Nothobranchius furzeri: one gene and its partners. The protein of the gene in region 4 interacts with the protein of the main gene of each other region in a biochemical or structural test. Links are inferred from orthologs where the notes say so. Each region holds a gene or a part of one and is shown on either strand. Other genes may lie near its edges. The genes, in order: pdgfrb, cftr, TBC1 domain family member 10A, nherf1b, abcc4 and abcc2.

What was found.
Region 1: the proteins of nherf1b (region 4) and pdgfrb form a complex in vitro, tested with the Homo sapiens proteins (2 studies listed by BioGRID and IntAct, with this or other methods). The link is inferred for Nothobranchius furzeri from reciprocal best matches to the Homo sapiens genes NHERF1 and PDGFRB.
Region 2: the proteins of nherf1b (region 4) and cftr form a complex in vitro, tested with the Homo sapiens proteins (9 studies listed by BioGRID and IntAct, with this or other methods). The link is inferred for Nothobranchius furzeri from reciprocal best matches to the Homo sapiens genes NHERF1 and CFTR.
Region 3: the proteins of nherf1b (region 4) and TBC1 domain family member 10A form a complex in vitro, tested with the Homo sapiens proteins (2 studies listed by BioGRID and IntAct). The link is inferred for Nothobranchius furzeri from reciprocal best matches to the Homo sapiens genes NHERF1 and TBC1D10A.
Region 5: the proteins of nherf1b (region 4) and abcc4 form a complex in vitro, tested with the Homo sapiens proteins (3 studies listed by BioGRID and IntAct, with this or other methods). The link is inferred for Nothobranchius furzeri from reciprocal best matches to the Homo sapiens genes NHERF1 and ABCC4.
Region 6: the proteins of nherf1b (region 4) and abcc2 form a complex in vitro, tested with the Homo sapiens proteins (2 studies listed by BioGRID). The link is inferred for Nothobranchius furzeri from reciprocal best matches to the Homo sapiens genes NHERF1 and ABCC2.

What each region holds. Positions count from the first base shown.
Region 1 is NC_091741.1:96,092,751-96,096,250, reverse strand, and holds part of pdgfrb (platelet-derived growth factor receptor beta), read left to right. Parts: intron 1-436; coding exon 437-541; intron 542-788; coding exon 789-899; intron 900-2,697; coding exon 2,698-2,854; intron 2,855-3,076; coding exon 3,077-3,243; intron 3,244-3,500. UniProt on the Homo sapiens protein: Tyrosine-protein kinase that acts as a cell-surface receptor for homodimeric PDGFB and PDGFD and for heterodimers formed by PDGFA and PDGFB, and plays an essential role in the regulation of embryonic development, cell proliferation, survival, differentiation, chemotaxis and migration.
Region 2 is NC_091744.1:52,976,581-52,980,080, forward strand, and holds part of cftr (cystic fibrosis transmembrane conductance regulator), read left to right. Parts: intron 1-1,883; coding exon 1,884-1,994; intron 1,995-3,500. UniProt on the Homo sapiens protein: Epithelial ion channel that plays an important role in the regulation of epithelial ion and water transport and fluid homeostasis. Mediates the transport of chloride ions across the cell membrane.
Region 3 is NC_091746.1:51,452,372-51,456,400, forward strand, and holds the start of TBC1 domain family member 10A, read right to left. Parts: upstream 2,801-4,029; 5' UTR 2,609-2,800; coding exon 2,442-2,608; intron 852-2,441; coding exon 752-851; intron 590-751; coding exon 482-589; intron 1-481.
Region 4 is NC_091752.1:50,771,292-50,775,227, reverse strand, and holds the start of nherf1b (Na(+)/H(+) exchange regulatory cofactor NHE-RF1), read right to left. Parts: upstream 2,801-3,936; 5' UTR 2,661-2,800; coding exon 2,010-2,660; intron 1-2,009. UniProt on the Homo sapiens protein: Scaffold protein that connects plasma membrane proteins with members of the ezrin/moesin/radixin family and thereby helps to link them to the actin cytoskeleton and to regulate their surface expression. Necessary for recycling of internalized ADRB2.
Region 5 is NC_091754.1:57,242,153-57,246,239, reverse strand, and holds the start of abcc4 (ATP-binding cassette sub-family C member 4), read right to left. Parts: upstream 2,801-4,087; 5' UTR 2,648-2,800; coding exon 2,574-2,647; intron 1,534-2,573; coding exon 1,423-1,533; intron 1-1,422. UniProt on the Homo sapiens protein: ATP-dependent transporter of the ATP-binding cassette (ABC) family that actively extrudes physiological compounds and xenobiotics from cells.
Region 6 is NC_091752.1:21,701,304-21,704,803, forward strand, and holds part of abcc2 (ATP-binding cassette sub-family C member 2), read right to left. Parts: intron 1,016-3,500; coding exon 816-1,015; intron 736-815; coding exon 609-735; intron 515-608; coding exon 413-514; intron 176-412; coding exon 32-175; intron 1-31. UniProt on the Homo sapiens protein: ATP-dependent transporter of the ATP-binding cassette (ABC) family that binds and hydrolyzes ATP to enable active transport of various substrates including many drugs, toxicants and endogenous compound across cell membranes.

The DNA of each region.
Region 1 (3,500 bases), on a different chromosome or scaffold from region 4:
TGTTATTGGGTAAAGGGTCGATGGTTCCTATAATCGATCAGTTGTGGTTTATTTCTGAGTGTCTGACTCTGAGCAGGCTCTTATCCGTCACCCAGATGAGGACAAACTGTTTAAACTGGATCCATCCCCATGAGGCTTTTGTACTGCGAGTGGTTGGTTGTCTGCACACGGAATCCCTAATGAATACTTTTTAAACTGGACTCAGTCCCAGTTTAGCTAAAAGCTCCTTTTCATGCGTTTTGTTATTTTCTCTCATACAAACTGTCTCGAAGCTCTTGACATATTTATTTTCTGAATCTGCCAAAGCAAGTTTTTATATTAGTGTCCTTCAAAATAATAAGTCGAATCCCTCTCACTTATGTTCTAATGGGGAGAAGTGTTTGCTTCTTTCTCAGATTTCACACCGTGTCCCACTGAGGCCCTCTTTGTGTTTCAGGTCGAACTCTTGGATCAGGAGCTTTTGGCAGGGTGGTCGAGGCTACTGCATACGGTCTCACACATTCCCAGTCCAGCACAAAGGTGGCTGTGAAAATGCTGAAATGTAAGAAACACAATGTACAATAAAAGCTTCACATGCAAGATATCAGGCAACAGCAGCCTCCTGCACGCTCTCTGACACTGTCTCCCAGCAGCAGCCTGCTGAGCTTCAGCTGGTCTGACAGCCTGATTCAAGTTTCTTTTGACGTTTTCTGGCAGGAACACCGTTTTTCTCCTGCTCGCTGTACTCGTGTTGCTGTTCTCACATCACGTTCAGGTTAACACGTGTTCTTTCCTCTGCCCTCGTCCAGCTACAGCCAGGAGGAGTGAGACTCAGGCTCTGATGTCAGAGCTGAAGATCATGAGTCACCTCGGTCCTCACCTCAACATCGTCAACCTGCTGGGGGCGTGCACCAAACACGGTGGGCATCACACGAAGCTTTCCCACCAACACACACACACACACACACACACACACACACACACACACACACACACACACACACACACACACACACACACACACACGTGGTTCACGTAAAAATATATATTAAAAATTACAGCAAAGATTACTCTGTAGCAATTATTTCTGCATTTTCCTGTTTGTTCAGTAGGTTGAAATGATAAATATTTCTGTTACATTTGGATGAAAAATCCACTAAATTTGATTGATAACTGGTTAAAGATGACTTTTCCGGCACATTTTCTTCTCATCTGATTAAACCGCATTGATCGTATTTGCACTAAGTGAATAATTGTGTAAACAAGAAAGTTATGATTTCTTGTAAGAAATGGAAACAACCGTGTTACAGAGATGAAATTATAAAAATAATAGAAATGTTGATGTTTTAACACTGGACACCATGTTAACACAGCCAATGTGAACTCACTGATTTATGTTTCATTATACTAACGGTAAGCACAGCACTCCTAAGTGAAATGTTACAGCCAAATCAAATGTTTTGGCTCATTAATTTGTAGCTTAGGAAGAAAGATTGTTGGATCCGATTAGCAGGGCACATCTTGCCCTCCATAAAGTAGCTGATGGAATTACTGAACCCTTTTCATACATTAATGATCAGCTCCTGTTGAGACCCCAACCAGACTTTCCCTAATTCTATAACATCCTCACCTCTGCCAAGAAGGAACAATCATTCCTTCATAACTCATTCCATGAGACCGTTACTTGCTAACCGTTAGCATTAGCAACTCCCCAACACAGCAGAACTCCTTCAGGCTTGTGTTTTTTACGGAGATTAAACATAACTTTGCAAAGCGAGCAGAGTCAGTGGAAGAGTTGCATTGCTGTTAGCCAATCAGAGGTGAGATATTTCAATATCATGAATAATAATGAGTAAGACTCCAAATATTACTGTTTTCTGCCCCCCTTTCTTCTGGCTCTGCTTCCTGAAACAGGAGTGCCAGAACTTTTTTCCACAGATAAGAACTCACAAGGCAGTTCTCCCTGTAGGGGGTAGAGTTAATGATTTTTTGTCAGAAAACTATATTAAAAATAAAATTTCCATATGTGCATGTTATGTTTTTAAAGTGACAGTGTGTATTTCCCCTTTTGATAGAGGGCAGTACATACCTAAATTACTGCAAGCAAGCAGTATTTTTGTGTTTGAGTAAGACCTTACCAACGGATGGCCATTAGGGTCAAAAATCCCTGGGAGCTCAACCTCCAGCAAAATAACAAGAACATCAAACTCCCTTTCATCACTGGCAACAATGAAGAGTTAACCCTTTCAGGCTCAAAATACGTTTTGATAAAAGGACAAACAACTAAGTCCCTCGGGGGTACTTCTGAGTTTAAAAATGCTCATTAAATACATATGTGGAGTAACCAGGTAGGTAGGTTTTAACGTTGCAAATCTGCAACGCCTGCCTCCAGAGGGTTAAGGTGTAAAACAACAATGTTTATGAATGGTGAAAGATTTGTAACCGCTTGATACAAATCAGTAAATGCATTTTGTCCTCACAGGCTCCCGTAGAAGGAAACATGGCACCTATTATGGTGTCGCCCAGAGACTTAGACCCGCTCTCGTGTATTTTAGACCAGATTTTTATGATTATATGTTACAAAGCCGCCAATATTTTTCAACAGTCGGGCGTCATTTAATTCATTTTCAACAACATTTTGAGGGATATTTCCAGAGATTAACAGTATTTGCAACATTTAGCTTGTCTTTAAATCCTTATCCTTCATGTTTGATTTAGGCCCCCTTTACCTGATTACCGAGTACTGTCGCTATGGTGACCTGGTGGACTACCTGCACAGGAACAAGCACACCTTCTTGCAGTACTACGCTGAAAAGAACCAGGAGGATGGTTGCCTCATATCAAGAGGAAGCACCCCTCTCAGTCAGAGAAAAGGGTGAGATGAGTGAGGAAAATGCATTCAGAGCTGCACAAAGGAACATTTTATAGAAAATGGAGGACTTTTTCCGAGAAATCTTTGCCTTTGTTTTCAAAAAGTTCTGTTTAACTGATTGTTACAGATGCTTCATGTGATCAGCAACTACAAAAGGCTCGTTTGGATCTGGGTCAGTCGGGTGTTTTTTGATTATTATTTTCACACTTTAACGTATTTTTGCAGCTATGTGTCCTTTGGAAGTGAGAGTGATGGAGGATACATGGACATGAGCAAAGACGAGCCTTTGGTCTACGTGCCCATGCAGGAACAATTAGACTCCATCAAATATGCGGACATCCAGCCATCCCCGTACGAATCGCCCTACCAGCAGGACTTCTATCAGCAACAAGGTTCGACTTGACGCTGTCAGAGAAATCCGTTAGGATTATTGGCATGTGAGGATTTTGCAGATTTGCAAAATGAGGAATAATGAGAAAAACCAAACATTAGATCGAAAAGTGTGAAATGATGATGTGATTTAGCACAGTAACCATTTAGCTTTGTCTGACTAAACCTACTAATTCTGCACACTAAGAGAAAACAATTGGGAATGAAAACGGATGGTTTCAATTCAGAGATTTGCTAATAAAATATTAATAGTTTTGTT
Region 2 (3,500 bases), on a different chromosome or scaffold from region 4:
GATCGTGGTAATAATGGCGCACACCGTTGCACCGAGCAACTGGCAGCGGATGTCTCATGATATAACTATCCCCGTGTCACTGAAGGAAATTCAGATAAGACACAGAGTTGTGTGTTAATGGAACAGTAGATCAAACTCAAGCTGACTTTATTTGCTAAATGCAAGAGCCAAAGTGCCTGACGGCTGTGAGATTGCAGGATGACGCCTGCACCGTCACGAGTAGAAGCGTGAATCTGCAGCAGCAGCAGGTGTAAATCGGCAGTCTGCAGCTCTGCAGCAGCTTTCTCATTAGACCAGCCAATAAAGGTTTATGTTCTTGTGCACAAGCGCAGATAATCATTCTCTTTTCTTGCTACTGGAAGAACGGGTCAGAGCGCAAATGATTTCTTTGTTGCTAAACTGCCGAAAATGTCTACAAGTAAGTTCTACAGAAAGTAGCAAAGGGTCCTCAGAAATGTTACTAGATTTGTCACTAGGCGCTAGGGCTGGGCGATATGGCCTCAAATCTATATTGCGATATAATCTGAAGCATGTGCGGTAACGATATATATTGCGATATATTGCTATATATATTGCTTTTAAATATCCTCATGTGGCAAATATATGCCACTTGAGGCATATAGGCCTCCTCCTCCACCCACTCCATGCTTGCAGTCACTGCCATTCTGTTGACCCAATGTCAGCAGGGTGCACATCTTAAGCTGTTTTTACAGGACCATAGCGTTTTTTAAAACGGGATTTGCCACGGCACCCTGGGGAGGGTTTTGGCATTTATAGTAGCAAAGCTGAAGCTAGAATAAACTGCCATCAGGCACCTCTCCAACCAAGACGGGATATAGCGAGGTCGCTGCCCCCCCCCCCCCCCCCCCCCCCCCCCCCCCCCCCCCGCATGTGATGTACAGGGTCGCGCATTCAGCGTCAGACGGAAGACAAGTCAGACTGATGAAATTTCTTTTTCAGGACGTTTAGCTTTGATGTGACCTGCTTTTTGACTCCTGCTCAGCCAGTGTTTTCACCGCTTTGTCCAATAGCTGGCTGTCTCTCACCGTCCCCGTAAAAAGGCGACTAATCTGTTCGTCCGCTCGCACGGCCAAAAGCTCCATGGTCTCCATGGCTTTCCTTCCGGCCTGCACCCGGCGCACAGTACACGTGACTAACGTGACCACCCTCTTTTGCGGGGGGGGGGGCTCCCACAGTCGCTCCAGAGGGATTACCGGGGCTGACACGCGTTTAGCTGTCAGAGGCAAGGGCCTGATGCGGCAATATTACTACCAAGCGAGGCGGAACGAATGCCGCAATATTTGCGCAACACATTTATAGACATACCATTGCGGTAATATTACGCCGATATGCCGGCATGGTGTGTCCTATAAAAGCACCTTTAGTGACGTCATGTGTTGTTGCGATATCGCGATATAGCCAAAAACGTTATTATTACCCAATTTTATATCGTTTCTACCTTATATCGTTTCTATTGCCCACCCCTACTAGGCGCTAGGAACAGTGACAAAGTTGCTGAGTTGGCAACACTGCCTCTTGCTAAGCTACAGATAGCAAACGCTACGGGCATGACGTCATCACGTATTACGCTGCCTCTGGAAGGCACTGGGGAAGCAGGCTTTATTTCTGCGTTTTTACAGGAAAACAGAGGCAATCACAGTCAAAATGCCAGGGATCATTCTACAGGACCAGGGCACTGCAGGAGAATGTATGAGAAAGAAATTTAAAATTTCTATACATGTATTGGTTGTTAAATTTCCTTAAAATCCCTTTAAATCCATATTTATTCAGTCATGTTTTAGTGCTGGTTGAGCAATGCCTCTTATCTTTTAGCCTTAAACGAGCGATAACAACAACCTGGTTGATGTGTGATTTTCACACAGGTGGATTTCCCCACTGCTGAGGAAGGGCTTCACTAAAAAGTTGGATCTGAACGATGTCTACAAGGCTCCATCTTTTGATCTGGCAGACACCCTCTCTGAGAGGCTGGAAAGGTGTGTGTCTCCCCGCCTGCTGGTTTTATCTCTAACAAACAACCTTTGTTGATACGTTTTATCCTTCTGACTTGCTCCAAACTGCTTCATTCCTACCAAACCAATACTGTGTTACTTTTTCCTCTTTTGTTCCTGTTTACTTGTTTACAGATCAGTCATTGTTAGATTAGGACTAGTTAGATTAGTATTTATGTTGCTGATTAGGACTGAATAAGTTGGGACATTATTTTTGATTCTTTTCAGGTGAAAACACACCATTAATGCCTATACAATAGTAAATAATGCCACAAACACACATACATTGGGTTTATTAATCCATTTTCTATTATTCTGTAATTGTTTCTTTAACCTTTTTACCAGTTTTCTGAATATGGAAAACCGAAAATATCCCAATTTCACATTTTAAGGAGACTGAAGACACCAGTTCATATCAGCTGGTGGCAGAGTTGTGCTGTTTGTAAAATTATAAATTAAGAGACCAAAATGACTTATATTACAACAGAATCAATGTGAAGTACGATAAAACTGTCATGTATCTGGTATAAGTTAGTGCATTTACTATTCTCCTCCACCTCTTCATGTGGTCGCCACCTCTAAACCCACGTTTAGAAAAAAACCCGCTTATCTTTTCACTCCTCTAGTCACGGGGTGAATAAAAGTTCATATTTTTAGAGTTTTTCCACGAGGTATTCTTCAAGCTTCCCCATGTCTGCCGCTAGATATCTTCAGCCCTCTTTATGTTTTTGAGAGAGTAATGGCGGTGCTGTCGACGACAACGGCGTCCTGACCAATCACAAACTTGCATTCTCCGTCTTATTGGGCGGATGTTTAGAAAAGAGAGCTCAACTCCATCTGTCCTTGCGAGCCTGTTGGAGAGCCCTCAGAAGGATGGATAATGGCGTTGCATGCCAAGTATAAATTAGGCTTAAAAGTCTTGCCAACAGCAGCGTTCTCTTACAGGACCTTGGATCGAACCTACAACCTTCTGATTACGGAACAACCGCTCTACACCTTGAGCTCCTGCACACAGCTTCTCAGTTCTTCGGATTTATTTGGCTCCACACCTAAAAGGTGTTCAACCCTCTGGAGGCAGGAGATGCAGATTTGCACATTAAAACCTACCTACCTGGTTACTCCACATACATATTTCATGAGCATTTTTTAACTCAGAAGTACCCCTGAAGACTTAGTTGTTCCTCATTTTATCAAAACTTATTTAGAGCCTGAGAGGGTTAAAAAGGCTTTTGGTTTCTGACAGGATGGAGCATTAACGTGGTTTTCGTCCTGGCCGTGGAACACTGGACCAGCTATGCTTTAGGGGGGTGCTGGAGGGTGCGTGGATGTTTGCCCAACCAATCTACGTGTGTTTTGTGGACTTGGAGAAGGCGTTTGAACGCGTCCCTTGGGAGGCCCTGTGGGAGGTACTCCGGGAGTATGAAGTACCAGGTTCTCCGATACGGGCTGTTAGTTCCCTGTATTACCAGTGTCAGAGCTTGGTCCCTATTA
Region 3 (4,029 bases), on a different chromosome or scaffold from region 4:
TAAGACACTATTTTAGTTTTTTTTTAACCAATTTTTCACATTTTCTATCTATTAAACTGGGATCTAGAACTTAAAGGTGATGAAGACTGAAAAAAAAAACAGTTTTAATGATTATTTCTGATTATAATCGGTCACTCTGAGTTTGTAATTTAAATACAAAATGTTAAAGCTTTTATTTTGATATTTGAACATGCAAAAAGTTTATATAAGTGATCCAAAAGGATTCAAATGAAGGCAACTGGACGTCTTTGGTTTCTTGAAGATGCTTCGCTTCTAATCTGAGGAGTTTTGTCAAATCTGACTGGGTTATGGGAGGGTCAAACTTCTAATCTATAGCCGTCTATTGTGTAGAAGTACGTTGTGAATACCTAAGTTCTCCCAGATATCGATAGAAAAAGCAACAGCTGTCCCATCACAAACATTTACTACAGTAAACCCATCATGATTGGGACTCAAGAGGAACCAGGATTCTCAAACTGACCTCAAACTTGCTCCTGTTTTGCTCCTTTTTTGCTTTCCCTCCAGTGAGGTAGAGCCAGGCCCGACCCCGCAGGGATGGAGGAATTCCTTTCTGGCAACGCTCTTTCACCTTTTATTCAACAAACACACAGTTACTGCAGGATTTAATAAAATCCTGAATAAAATGAGCTTCAAATCTGATATGATTGTGTGAATTCATGCTTTTTAAACCACAGCTTGAACCTCTTTAAGGAGGAATTACAAATCAGTAAAAGCATCACATAAATCAGACCTTCTTGTGTTTTTTGGCCATCCACTTGTCCCAGCTTTTTAACATCTCCAGCCATTTCAACTCCCGCTGCCTCAGCACATCAGAGGGGATCTCCTCCGCCCTGAGAGGGAAAACACAACAAAGCTGGTATGAGTAGTCAAACAGAGTCCCGCCGTCCTCTCCTAAAAAGTTCGACAGGAGACACTTTTGCTCAGAGGGAGCGGAGAAGCAGCTCGTCTCTTCTTTGTACGTTCAGGAAACTTTCCTCAAGCGAAGCAGCTGAACATTCGCCATCGGAAGGGAAACAGGAAGCTGTGGGGGACGTTTACCCCAGTCTAATTCACTGTAGCCTTTATAAAGACACCTCACCGCCCAACGGCGCTGAGGAGAATACGAGATGTCTTCCGAACATGAACAAAACACAAACCTGCTGAGCAGTATGCTCTAATCGGATCACCAGAATAGTTCCGGACAACATCGGTGTCTCTAAACCACAAGCACATTTAACAGGTGAAAGCCAATAAAGTCAGAAGAACAACGCAGAACAGAGACGCTACATATAGATCGCTGGTTTGACGGGAGGATTTGCGGTTTCGTTTCAAACAGCTGAACATCCCATAAATGCCACCTTTCAGGCTCTACAAGAATGGATATCCTTGATCTTTTAGCACAGGGGCTGCAAACATTCCAGATTATAACCCATGAAAAAGTGAATAACTAAATCATAATGAAAACACAGCTACTGGTTTGATCTCTTCCATTGAAAGCATAAAAAAAGTTTTGATTCCTGAAGATCATCTCCATGATGTTTCATGAAGAACCACAATGGGGGGGTGGGGGGTCTCACTGATTTTATAAACGGTCAAATTCACAAACTGAGTTTGATCCATCATACTCAAGTTGAACAGAAATTATTTTGATCCATTTAGATCAAACACTGGTTAGTCACCAAACCCTAAATCTTTGACATCATTCTCAACAGTCACACATTCTTCCAATTCTCAACATCGGACTATGAGGAAGACTTGGTGGGAGTGTTATCAGTGAGTGTAACTCCTGGACTCGTGTTGTTCCAGTTTACACCGATGACAGTCTGGAGCTGAAACCTGTCCACAATAACATATAGTGGTTAAGGTGAGGCAAATGCTGGTGGATCATGTGATTATCTCACGCTAGTTACTCTGATGCGGAGCAACCATAGATCTACATTAACCAAGGTATAAGGAAACTCTTGGAGTGAAAGTAAACAGGAAGTTGTTTTACTGTTGGGTTGGTGATGTTTGAAACACAGGCTAGTTTAATCTGGGGTTTATCCGAGTTCGGGTGGAAACGGGCTCTGTCCCATTTGAAAAGGATAAAACTCAAACAAATCACTAGTGGAGACAGATGGCCCTGGCAGGATTGGGACATGACTAGGATAAAATTTTTGAATAACTGAAACAAGAGCACACTTTTGACTAAATGAGGACAGTTTTCGTGTTAGTTTAGCTGCTAGAATAAAGGAAAACCGGTGAGGGAGGGGTGAGTGTACTTGCTTTCGGCCGTAACCAACACTTACACGTAACTTCAGGAAATCCTCCCATATGTTTTTTTTTATTTACCACATAAATCTGATTATCTTTGACAACACACAATGACCATTAAGAAATTTTTTTCACATTTTCCCATATCTACCAGAAATCAGAAGCTGCATTTGAAACATCACCCTTACTCTTCTGTGGCGCTCTGCTGAGCTCCTCCTAAGAACCCATACTTGTCCACCTGTGTGTCCCCGGTAAAGGAGTTGTTTGATCCACGAGAAGTTCCTTTCTCTCCATCCGTCAACTTCTCCGTGCTGCCACCGATTTCGAGCCCATCGTCCTGCTCGGCTTCTGCCATTTAATCGACATCGGCAGCAGCAGAAGATGTCTTCAAACTTTAGAACGAGTTCTCCATCAGACTCCCGCTGGTGACAGCTAGCTAGTTGCTATGAGAAACAATTACTTAGCTACTCGCACATTGATGCTAAAACAGCCACCTTGGGGGCACGTTTTGGTAAAATGTCCTTGCTTCGCTATAGAAATAAATGTTTCGCTTACGCAAAAAGACTAGCCCGCTAGATTCAAATAGAGCGATTGGTTTTACCGTTGAATTAGCTCGGTGTCTGCACGCTAACTCCGACGGTAACATGCTACTATCTCACAGCTGTCAGCTGACCGACAAACACTTTCTACCGAGAATCTCTTCTGTCAGCAGGAATGCAGATTAGCTGCAGGCTAAGGAAGAGAATCTGCCTGACTGGTTAATAAACAAAACATCCTTGGAATCTCATTTAACCCAACCCTCTTCTGCCACCTACCGGAAGTCATCTGCTTTACGTGTAAAAAAAAATCAAAAGAAATTTCTTCTCAATTAACTTTATTGATAAAACTAACAAAGCAAAGCAGAAAAAAAAGAAAAAGAAAAAAAACGAAATTAACACACGTGTAAAGGTAAAAAATACACAAATACTGGAAACCAGGGCCGTGCAGAGACCTTTGACGGGGCGGGTGCTCAAAGTAAAAAAAAAAGGGGCCCTTATAGAGCAATCCAACAAGTTAGAAAATTCAGATAATGAGACCCTTGGGTTCAAACAACATAATAAAAATATACCAATTAGTATCATTAGTGTTAATGTTAGTTCATAAATAATAGTTTTAGTTTTTAAAGCTGACATATCTAGAGATGTTACAACCACATTTTTGCCCCTGATCCGAGTCCAAGTTGTTTGATTTTTGATTATCTTCCAATACCTGTTCTGATACCAGATGGTGATGCAATGCATTACAAAAGAAGAAAGAATTCATCCTTCTGTCTGTATTTGTCAATTTGTTATTTTAGCCTGAAAAGGTCACTCATTCAGGAAGTACATTTAACAGAAATCAAGATTCAAGATACTTTATTGCTATTGCACAGGTGTACATCCAAGTATATTTTGCGTCTACTAAAGACAGCTCTAGTAAGAGGTAGTAAAATAAATGTAAAATAAATGCACCACAGAGAGTTATCCAGTGTGATCTACAGCTATGTTAGCTGAGATCTTTTTCCTGTCAGTAGAAAATTCTTGATCCCATTCCATGATCTCACTGAACTTAACACTAAACATGAAAGCTCTGCTACCAACCTAACAACAACTTCCTTTGGGCAAAGGCACCATCATCACATACGTGGCAGGATTCTCAGTGAAACTTAGAAGAATCTTCTCCAAACACAACATCCCGGTAAACTTTAAACCCAACAACACCCTCAGACAGAACCTGGTCCGTCCAGAAGACAAAACA
Region 4 (3,936 bases):
TGATTCCAAATCTAGCTGCTCGCACTGAGAAAAGCTAAAGCTGTCATTACATTGTTGTTGTGAAGGATGGATGTGAAGAAGCAGCGAGTGCCCTCTACTTCAAAGCATCACTTCATAAAGATGAATGCTAAATGTCAGCGGTTTCTGTGTCTTAAATTGCTTTTTATGAGCTTTTAACAGTTGGGTGAGGAGGAAAAAGTTGTTTGAGGAAGAAACTAAGAAATATTTGGAGGAATTTCTGAAGCGTTTAAAAGTAACTAACTACCCAAAATGTCAGCATAAGCTTTGTAATAACACAAGATTAGGCAAAATGTCACCATTTTCATGTAAAAACATAAATATGTGTTTAAAGCAACTAGATTAAAAGTAATGTTAAAGTTGCTGCCAGTGGCTCATTAAGGTCAAGAGAAAACAAGATGACAGAAATGTCTACGTTTGATGTATGCTTTGTGTATGTACTAATTTTTAACAAAACTTAATAAAAGCTGCTTTCTTCCTACTCAAAAAAGTGCTTATTTGTAACTAAATATCTAAATTCAACTGTAACACGGATAATCATGACCTCTCTGACCTCCTCAGCTTTAAAGAGGTATAAATCAATGCCTTAGGAATCGTTCTCAATGGAAAAAAAGCTCTGGCGCTTCAGTTTCAGGAAGTAGAAGTTAGTCGGAGGAATGGGGGCATAAAACGGCAGGATTTGGAGACTTACTCGTTATTCATGATTTTTGGACACCTCACCTCTGATTGGCTAAGAGCAACGCGACTCTTCCACCGACTGTTTGCTCTGCAACGTTTTTCTTCTACAAATAACACAAGCCTGGAGGAGTTCTACCGTGCTGCCGAGTTGCTTATGCTAACGGTTAGCTACTACTAGCCAAGACCTGCTCTGCTCTCTCCTGAATCAACAAAAGTCTTCCCTGTCACGAGCCAAGATGGGGGAGTCCAAGTCTGACTTTTCTAATACGAGACTTTCCTCGTCTATTTACTCTCCACGGCAAAGACTGTTTTCACATTCAGCCTGCAAGTGAAATTCAGAACAACTGATCATATCTTAAAAATAAAAATAACAAGAAAAAATAGTTTCTCAGTGAACTTGGTCTTTAAGATAGAATGGAAGGAGAGGATCAAAAGTGGGGATGATTACCTTTCTGTGTGAACCAAGCCAAAGCAGAAATAGGATTGTATAAAAACACTTAAAAGAAGCCCAGCAGGTTCTGGTTCTGCCCTTTTGTGATATCTGCTGTCTCACACGCTCCTTCTACCCGTCTCACTGGGAGGACATGTGTTGGACTCAGACAGAAACAGCCTCAGGGGTAAACATCCAGAACACGCAAGGCGGCGCAGCAAGAGGCACAGATGTCCCTGACCGGAGCGTCTTCCTCAAGTGGTTTGAATGAATTTAAACACACACACACACACACACACACAAGTGTGACCAGAGAAAATAAGAGCAGACAACTGAGTGAAGCCCACCCCATAATGTTCCAAGATGAAAGGCTGAAAAACAAATCCCATAACGGGATCTCACTAGTGGGAATAAAACAAGACACCAGACTATTTCCTGCTGTTTGTAGTGGAGGCTTTAGTTATTTGATGTAGTTTGTTTTCACTGCCTAAGCCTGAACCTGCAGGCTGACGACAGAACGATAAACACAGATGTGTCTGTGGCCAGAATGTTCTGGTGTTGTTTGAGGCCATCAGACCCGAGCCTGAACCTCTCACCCAGCAGCCTGGTCAATAGATCAGCTGACGTTCGTCCTCTTTAACGTTATCTGTCATGTTTGTTCATTCTTTGGCCATTAACAAAAAGGAAACACAGAACCTAGAGAGAGCTAGCTCCTCTGAGCTCTACCAGCTGGGTATCGGCCATTGATCCACATCGGTGGACCTGTGGACATGAGACTGAGGTTGTCTTTGTCACTGAGGACCTATTCTCCTCAGGAGGACATGTCTAAGAGGAAGAGACACCAGGACGGGACATGATGAAACTTTTCCAGAACTCAACTCACCTTCTCAGAGCTGATGCTCAGCATCTCCTCCACGTGTCCGAGGATCTCCCCGTTCCTCTCTGGGACGGGGGTCAGCTCCCTGGGTGTCTCCGCCTGCTCCTCCTCCTCCTCCTCCTCCACCACCACCACCTCATCCTCCTCCTCTTCTTCTACTTCTCCTTGAACTTTCACCTCCTCCAGCCTCGCGTTCCCGTTTTCAGTCCCGTCCACCTCTACGTCCTCCTTCACCAATATCACCTCCTCCTCTCCGTCTTTCTTCTCCTCGTCCTCCTGCGTCTCCTCCTCCTCTCCGTTGTCCTCGAACGGTAACGGGAGACCATCGGAGACGAACTCCTTCAGGCACTTTAGGTTGTGTTTCTTCAGCAGCAGGTCCGTGTCCGGGTCCACCACCAGCAGCTCCAGTCGGCCCGCCGTGGCTCGGATCCGGGACACGACCTGCTGGTGGCTCTCGGTCTCCACGTCCTCACCGTTGACGAAAACGAGTCGGTCTCCTGCGCGGAGACCCGAGGACTCTGCCGGGCTGTCCGGCTCCACCAGGCGGATGAACTGGCCCGTCTTGCCCTTCTCTCCGTGCAGGTGGAAGCCGTAGCCGTTGTCGCCCTTCAGCAGCGAGCACAGCCGCGGCCGCAGATGCTGCTTCTTACTCGGCATGTTCGCTGCTGCTGCCGCTCTACCTGTTGCTCGGTCTCACTGGGAACGACTGGAGGCTCTGGGCAGGATGCTGGGGAGGACGGAGGGTGTGCCAGAATGAGTGAAAAACAACACCCAACCCCGTCCCGCTCTGATGTAACCCTCCTCCTCCGGGTGGCTCCAGAGTCCTGACCCGCGTGCAGAACTCACCCTGAGGAAGGAGGAGGTGCGTTCAGGGACCGGTGCATGAAGGACGAGTAAACCAACCGGGACAGAACACCAAGTGGAAATACCAGTTTATTATAATTATTTATAGTTTGTTATCATTTAACAGATCCTACTGTGATACCTAAAGGGAGTTTCTGGCCATTTTGAGGTTTCGGTGTAAAAGCAAATAGCCTCACTCAGCAGAAACAGGGTTTGATGGTGCGTTCGATGTATCTTCGGAACTCGGAAATCCCAACTTCCTAGTTGGAAAATTGTAACCCCCCCCCCCCCCCCCCCCCAAAAAAAGTCGGACCTCGCAGTCAGAAACTCGGAGGAATTTCAGAATTCCGAACTCGACAACAAAAATGGCAGCTCTTCTTATCAACAACAGTAACTTTTGGGTGAAATGTGTTTATTTAACAGAACACACATAGTTTAAAACCAATATTAAATGTAGTGTTTGCAACTCTAAGCTTAACATACTAAAAGTTTTGTTTGCGTGTTAAACGCAAATCTTAAAACCATGCTATTAAGAGGAGTATACAAACAATTACTACTTGGGAGGTGTGCGTCGCCAATATTGGAATCCTGACATCGCTGACTACAGTAACCAGAACGCAGTTAACTCAGGTGTGTCACCATTCCCAGTTCCAAATTCAGACTTCAGAGGTAAACTGAACGCACCACTAGTTCCAGGAATAAAGGTGGATGCTGCTGCTTTATAGGGCATGTTATGAAAAACTCACCATTTGCTTCCTTTTAGGCTGTGTGGTCTCTACTGCCTCTATAAACACTCCAAACGTGGAAAAAATCCTTCCGAGCGTTTTCTGCCAGTGTTTGATTTTAGAAATAATTTGCCTAAAACAAGCTGTTTTGAAAATTACGAAAACCATCTTTCACATGCAAGAAAGACCCATTGCTGGAGGAGTAGCGGCTCTACTCCAAGCCCCATCCAGATGGAGCTTCTCAGCTTATAGCAGCCTGAGCAGGGGTGGCCAGTTCTAGCTTGTTTTCTTAAAGTGACAAAGCCCTGAAACAGACCCTGTGCTTGATAGCAAACGCTTTTGATTAATGAACTCTGGAGAGCTGT
Region 5 (4,087 bases), on a different chromosome or scaffold from region 4:
CGTGTTTATGAAACTCCGATCAAACTCTGATCATAGCTAAAAGCAAAACATCACAACATCATTCAGACTTGCTTCTCCAGATATGAGAGTTCTGATTACATCACTCACACATACACCATTCATCTCACGTCTCATTCACACCAGATCCATTCATCACTTAGAGTTAGTCTTGTTTAAAATTCTTTAAAATTGTTTAGAAATAAATCTTCTTAAACGTTTTAAAGGTGACTCTCTCGTCTCTCACTTAATACAAGTGTTACATAATCCCTGCAATCAAAAGTTCCAATCTTCTGGTTAAAATAACCCAACTGTCCGTAAGGTTGATTTCATATTTACTATGGAATCTTACATCTTACGGGTCCTTAATTAGAAGTAAATTAACTCTTTTACATTTCTTTCCCCTTGCCATGGCAACAAGGGCTGCATTCCAAGTACAGGGAGCTCTGCTGGTCGTTTTACCAGCATGCACAGCTACAGAAGTGGAATGCAGCCCTCACTGATACACCTGTACCTTCTCTAATCTGTCAAATAAAGATGAAGTGTCCTGGCTCACTTTAAAGCGACGTCTCTGCTGGCCCGACTCCTCCGTTAGTGTGAGCTCAAGCACCAGTTAGATATTTATTTACAAACAAGCGATCAGAGTTGTGATGTCCTGATTAGTCTCCTTAAAAGGCTGGATCCAAACTGCCAGATAAGAGTTAAAAAGATCAACATGTGTGGTGTTGTGCATCGTTTATGGTTCTGGTTTTTCCTCTGGGAGTTCCTCAGAAATAAACAGAGCCGCTTGTGTTGTTGGAGATAAAAAAATCTGCGAGACAGTAGTTACACAGCTACTGGCTCCTTATCCTTTAAAAGGAAGTGAGAAAGAAGAAAGCTGCCTTCAGAGCAGCACTAAAACCCGTTAAATCACTGAGAAATTTACATTTCAAAATAAAGAACAAACGGCCTCCTCAGACCAGAGAGGGCAGAAGGGTAGCGGTGCAGACTGGAACCAAGGTGTGGATCTATCAGCACGGGAGAGAAGAGACTCGCTTTTGTTTGTTTACCAACAAAGTTCAACTAAACTAACGACGATCATCACCGTTCGTCCAGCTTGCTTCTAACAGATCTGGTTCCAATCAGCTGTCAGTTCCTAAAAGCTCAGTCACAGTTTTAAGAAAACAACGAGTACAATTAAACCACGCGTATCCTGTTAGCCTCAGATTAAAGGGATCATAAAAGCCGCTGTTTGGAAAATGGGAAATGTCCATCCCCATGAGAACCGTGGAGTAGACTGCTACCGCCGCGCTGTTTCAAGGCAGCAGGAATCCACAGTCACTATCTGTTAGCTTATCGATCTGGTCACACTTGTCTTCCATTTATCACCAATAAGAACAAATCTGTAACCTGTCCAACATTTAGGAGATAAAGCAGCACGCTCACCTCTGTAACTCCTGTCCCACGTACTCCGACTTGTCCTCCGAGAGCACCTCGAACATGTCATCCTCCTCCAGCCTGCGTTTGTAGCCCGTTCTAAAGAGAGGATTCAGCCACCTGACAGGAGAAGAACAGACCAGTCAGGGGGCCAGAGCGATCCAGTTCATCCCATTCAGGAAGTCACCAGTTATGATCCAGCTCTAGTCTGATCCCACACACTTCCCTTTTTCATTAAGGAGCCTAATGACACCTGACACATTCACCATGAACCTCGAGAGGACAGTTTGAACCAACGTTTTACACAAAAATCTTTATGGTATTCAAGTTTTTCTGCCATTTTCAGCTCATTGGAATAAACAGTAAATATAGTAGTAAGCAAGTGGACCGGGCTCAATTAGTATCCAAACAACATCTCTGCAAGAAAATCTAGTTTTAATTCAAGACAAACTTTTAGACTTGCTGTTTCTGACCAATCAGCATCCCCGAAAACAACAGATTTGAACATTTATGAGTATAAATAAATACTGTAAACTCAGTTTTCCACTTACACAGATTTATGTCACCCTTAATAACTCAATCACACTTAATCTGAGGCCTCACGCGCATATTTTAGCAGGATTTTCATTTGTACTCCTTTGATTTTTTCATTGTTATATCTTGGTGTAATCCTTTTGAGTCACATTTAACTTCTGCGTCACGGCCTCAGATCATTTAAGTCTTTTTGGGAGTGTTTAGCTTGTGCACAACGTCACTTTTCTCCCTGGGAAACGTAAATAACCGAGACCCCTGGAACAGAACCGAATCAAACGCAGTATCGTCTAAATTCAAAACACCTGGCGCTTACGGTTTTCCGGTTTCAGGAGCTGGCGCGTGTGATGACACGACGGCCAGGTGTCCTGTAGCTGGTGCCACTAAGCTAACAGGTAATAATAAAAACAAAACGGGTCAAAAAACTAACAAAAGTGAGAATAAACTCCGCTAAAAGACGTTTTAAATCGAACTGCTGCTGAGCCCATGCTTTGTCACAGCAGCACTTCCGTTTGAATACTTTTACTTATGACAAAAGTATGTAAACACAGTAAAAGTGAGCAGAGACACGTTTGAACTCCCCGCTACGCTAGCAGCGTCTCGCGCACGCCGGGTACTATTTGACCTACCAGAAAAACACCTTCGACAGGAGGTTCGCCGTCGCTGCCGGGTTGGTCTTCGCATCTCTGCTGACTTTCTCCATGGTTGCCGGCCGGCTTCCACACAGTACTCCACCTCCCTTAACTTTCTCCTCCTTTAAAAGCTGCCTCCGGCTAAGTGGCGCAACTTTGTAGTACGCACATGTTACAGGAGGGTCCTGCTACTGTACGGTGGATTACATAACACGTCAAGACACGCAAGCCGTTATTACATGCAGAAATAAAAAAAAAGGAAATAGAAACACTTCCAGGTCCCGCCCTAAGCAAATATGATTGGCTAATAAAATAAGAGGAACTATTCTATTGGCTGAGTGTTTACAATGCTCTCACGCGATTGGCCTGCGATTTTACGGGTGTAGAATGTGCTCCATGCGATCTAATTAATTATCTATTAATCCTTTATTGGGCACCCATTGAAGAATTTAAACTTTTAAATTTTCAATAAAATTGTATTTTTCAATAAAAGTACACTTCTGTTGTTACAATTTTCAAAAATACTTATTTTCAAGCAGAAATTCAGACGGTGATTAAATATGGACGTTGGTCCTGTTCTAGAATAAGAAATCCCAAAAATAAAAAACATGAACAAGTTTTTATTTTTGAATAATATAGATAATTATAAGACACTTTAGAATAATCTAACTAATTTTAAAACATATGACTCTTTACTAATACACATTATATCAGAATTACTATAGAATTTTTTAATGAAACCTGATAACTGTAGAATATTTTAGAAACGTTATTGAACAATAGATACTATTTCTAATCAAATATAGATTATTATATTATTTTAGAATATTTTATATTTCAGGATCTGTCATCTTCCTCCTGTTCATCATCATCATCACTGATGGTGAGATTGGTTGGCACAATACCTGTCCTCCATTTCCAAGAGAAATCTTAGTTTAAAACTGCAAATATATTCAATATCATAATTGTTCCTGTTACTATGAAGATTTTGTCTAAAAAAACAACAATTTTATCTAAAAATATTCATAACTTCTTTTACTTGTTCAGGGCGTATGTTCAAATATGGCAGATTTGATTTTTATTCGATGATTTCACCAATTTCATTGGGTTTAACATTTACAACACATATATCCTTATTTAGCACAACTAGTCAACCTTGTGACGTGAGAGTTTCATGAACATTGTTAGTTTTAGCGTTCTGACCATAAACACGAGAGGAGAAGTTTTCTGGCTCTGCAGACACCAATATTTAGCGCGTTATAGCCCCGCACTGATTGGTGGAATGGTGCCATGGCGCAAACCATGACAAGTTTGATTTCTGATGATTGTTTGGGTGAAATACTGTAACTCTAAGAGTTTGTAAAAAGGCATACTGACAGCATTTATGACGTGAGTGGAAGTATCTATTAGACACTGGCCCCTTTAAAGAGTTAATCATATAAACAGAGGACTGGAACAATTTTAGACAAATTTACTGACAGATCCTGATCATGAAATTTATCTAAACCAAT
Region 6 (3,500 bases), about 29 Mb from region 4:
CACACACACACACACACACACACACACAAACCTTCTCACTGCTGGTTATGTCACAGGTGATTCCCTTGAGTACAAGGTCTAATTCTGGTCGGTAGCGGACCTTGTAGTCTATAAACTGCAGCCTTCCAGCCTGTGGCCAATTCTCTGGAGGTCGATGTTGAGCCACCCACTCAGCCTGCAGAATAAGAGGAATTAATAGATTGAAAGATGCTGTTTTCATTTGAACTATGTTTGTGTTGAATGCAAATGTCAAACTGAATATTATAACAATAGCGAGACAAACAAAAATTAAGTAACAAATCTAAAAAAAAAATTTACCTAAGGATGCCTTCAAATGTTTAGCCAAAAACCATTAAATGAACCAGTGAAAAACAGCATCTTTGTGTAAAACAGAAGGAAGTGGCAAACATACCTCATTTTCAATTTCGCAATATTCACTCACTCTCTCCACGGCTACAATATTTGTCTCCAGCTCTGAGGTCATCCTCACCAGCCAGTTCAGGGTCTGCGTTACCTGAAACGTCGGAACAGGAAACGTTGGTTAACTTGATAAATTTTATTTTTGTTGAAAGACACAACAATCGTTTGTGTGTGTGTGTGTGACTCACGTTGAGAGCGTATGATATAGACAGGCCAACCAGGCCACTGTCAATGGTCTCTCTGGAGATGACTGCAAACAGAGCAGCAAAAAATACCACGAGATTTCCTAGAGACTCCAGACGAATGGCCAACCATCTGTTGAGTAAATATCACAGAGACGTTAACATAAATCAATCTAATGTTGTCTAAATGCATTTGGAGGTACTTGAACTGACCTGTTTGATACGATCCATGGGTAGACGCTTTTGAGATTTTCATCAATAGTGATTTCATTGTGTTTAAGGAACCTTTCCTGGTGTTTGTAGGCTCTGATCACAGACAGGCCAGACACGGTTTCACCAAAGTGGGAGTATATAGGAGAGCGAGACACGGAGTCCAGACGACGCAGCTGTCGAGAAGTCGCTACGTAGAACCTCTGAGAGGGGAAAAAAATGCAATATGGAAAAAGATTTATTATTAACACTGTAGACATCTGATTAGATACCCTAACTTAAAAAGAAAAAGCAAACTAATTGCACTTAAAAGGAATACGACACAGTTTTGGTTTGCATTGTGGCACCCCTTAGTGTCTGTTAGAAAACCAAAAGTGAAACGTATCTCCTTGCTGTGTGTTAATCTTTTTAACTCCTTCATCTTACTACTGAAATGTCTCCCCAGCCTTCATTAATTTCTACAGGAGTGGGTCATCACCAAGTCAAACAAGTCAGCTGTGTTCATCTAAAACATGTAGGAAATGTGCTGGATGAAAACTTCAATGCCAGGTATGTAAGCGCCACTTTACTAAGTCCAGCAGGGACTGGACCGGCACTCTGAAGTTGCAAGTGATATTCTGGTCACAGAAGGCGGTGGGGGTCTTTATTGCATTAACCCTGTAAAAGGTCATTTTAACGCACACTGGCTCAAGAAAATGATTTAAAAATATGAAAAAGTTACACGTGTTTGAGCCACTTGGAAATTAGCTTACTGAACTAGTATTTCTGAGTATCATATATTTGAGCAGTAGTAAACAGTAAGGAAATTAATAAGTACTTTGTACTGGTGTGTCTTGTTTATAGTAATTAGCTTTTAAATGCATTTTACGTGGTAAACATGTGTGGCTCCAACACATAACTACCTACACCCGTGTACTTTTTATTTTAAGTGCAATCCATTTGCAGGCGTTTTTTCTAGATGGCTAACTAATTGGGTTTTACTGTGTAGTTGAGACAAACTTCAACTGTTCATAAATAACAGCCATATTTAGATGATTTCTAAATCTGTTTAAATCCAAATAAAAAGTACAAATGTACAGCTGCTGAAACTAAAAACTCCTTTTCCAAAGGGAGCAAAAAACATTTAATTTATATTTTATGTGCAGTGATTTATATGTGCATTTTCATACTGTTTAGCAATAGATATAAATTAATTAGCACCAAAACCTAATATTATTCAGGTACATGCATTTCATGCAGGCTGAAAACCACCACTGACTGGTCATTGCTATTGGACCCTCAGGCAGCAATGAATGTGACAGAATTCACGGCACGGACTGGAAACCTCCGACTCTGGCCGAAAGACTATTTTAATTATTTCTTTCAAAAAAAATAAAAGAGAAAATTCCTCATTCACAGATTAAAATTTCTGTATCTTTAAAACATTTGTATATTCATATTTTCCAATAAGGCACACATCTTATTTTACTAAGAGTGGTTTGAAAACATGGCAAAGGAGTTTTGTTCACTGTTTTTAAAATACTTCTTTTGCTGGAATTGTTTCTGATCGATTGAGCCGAAGAGGAAAATCGTTCTAGCAGTCATCTGAAAGCATGAACACCCATTTCCCCTCGACCAGAATGGAGAAGAACCATCTGGCTTTTTACTCATAATGCCATTTAGGTTCTGAGGTTGAGTCCTGGCTAGATATGTCAGCTCGGACCAAGGACCATTTCTCTGAGCAGATCACTGTTCAGCTGCAGGTGAATGAACTTGATGTGTTAATGGGCAGATTAGGATTGCTTGTAGCCATACCTAGTGCTAAAAGGCAATTTTAAAGAGCAAGTCACCCCCTACCAGAGTCTAACTCCACTCCCACTTCATGTTTGAAAAATGCAACAAATGCTGTTGCCAGGCAGACCGAGAGGGCGGAGCCGCTAACAAATACACACACACACACAGGCTCAGGACAGCATTGTGACATCATAATGCACCAGTTTACATCATAGCATACCTCTTAGCCAATAGCGGTGGCAGATTTAAATTAAAATACAGTGCAGAGTTTTTACCTGACAACGGCACAACACTGCCAGTTTTAGGCAGAATATTTAAATTTTGACCAAGATGCACTGAAGTGCCAAATTATTGACGACACGTGTCTGCAGCACGATTAGACACACATTTATATAGTTTATCAGCAAAAAAAAGTTTATTTGGGGGTGACTTGCTCTTTAAGAGCTTTGTGTTTTGAATGAATATTTTACAGTTTGGTGGTGGTTTCCCTTCATTTAAACATTTGTTTAAATGGAATTTTTTTAACCCTTTGATGCATGAATTATGAAATCTTCAACCATGATTTTTTAACCATTTTTTTCATTCATCTTTAGGTGTGAATGAAACAAATTTCAACAAATTTTTTTGGTAAAATTTTATTATTTACAAATAATTTATTACATGTCCCCCTCAGTGGACACCGTGCATTCTGAGCATGAAATATGTTGGCTTGGCTAACTGAAGTCCAAATGGAGGGGCTCAAATGCAATTAAGTCTTCAACAGCTGTGCTTAATAGCAAAAATAAATAAATAACAATTTTGAGTACCTGTCCACTGTAGTGACCATTATGCATCAAAGGGTTAATGGAATGTGTTTTATTCATTGCTATTTTTCAACAGGTTTTATGTTATTTTTAGAGGTGGAACTCAACAAAA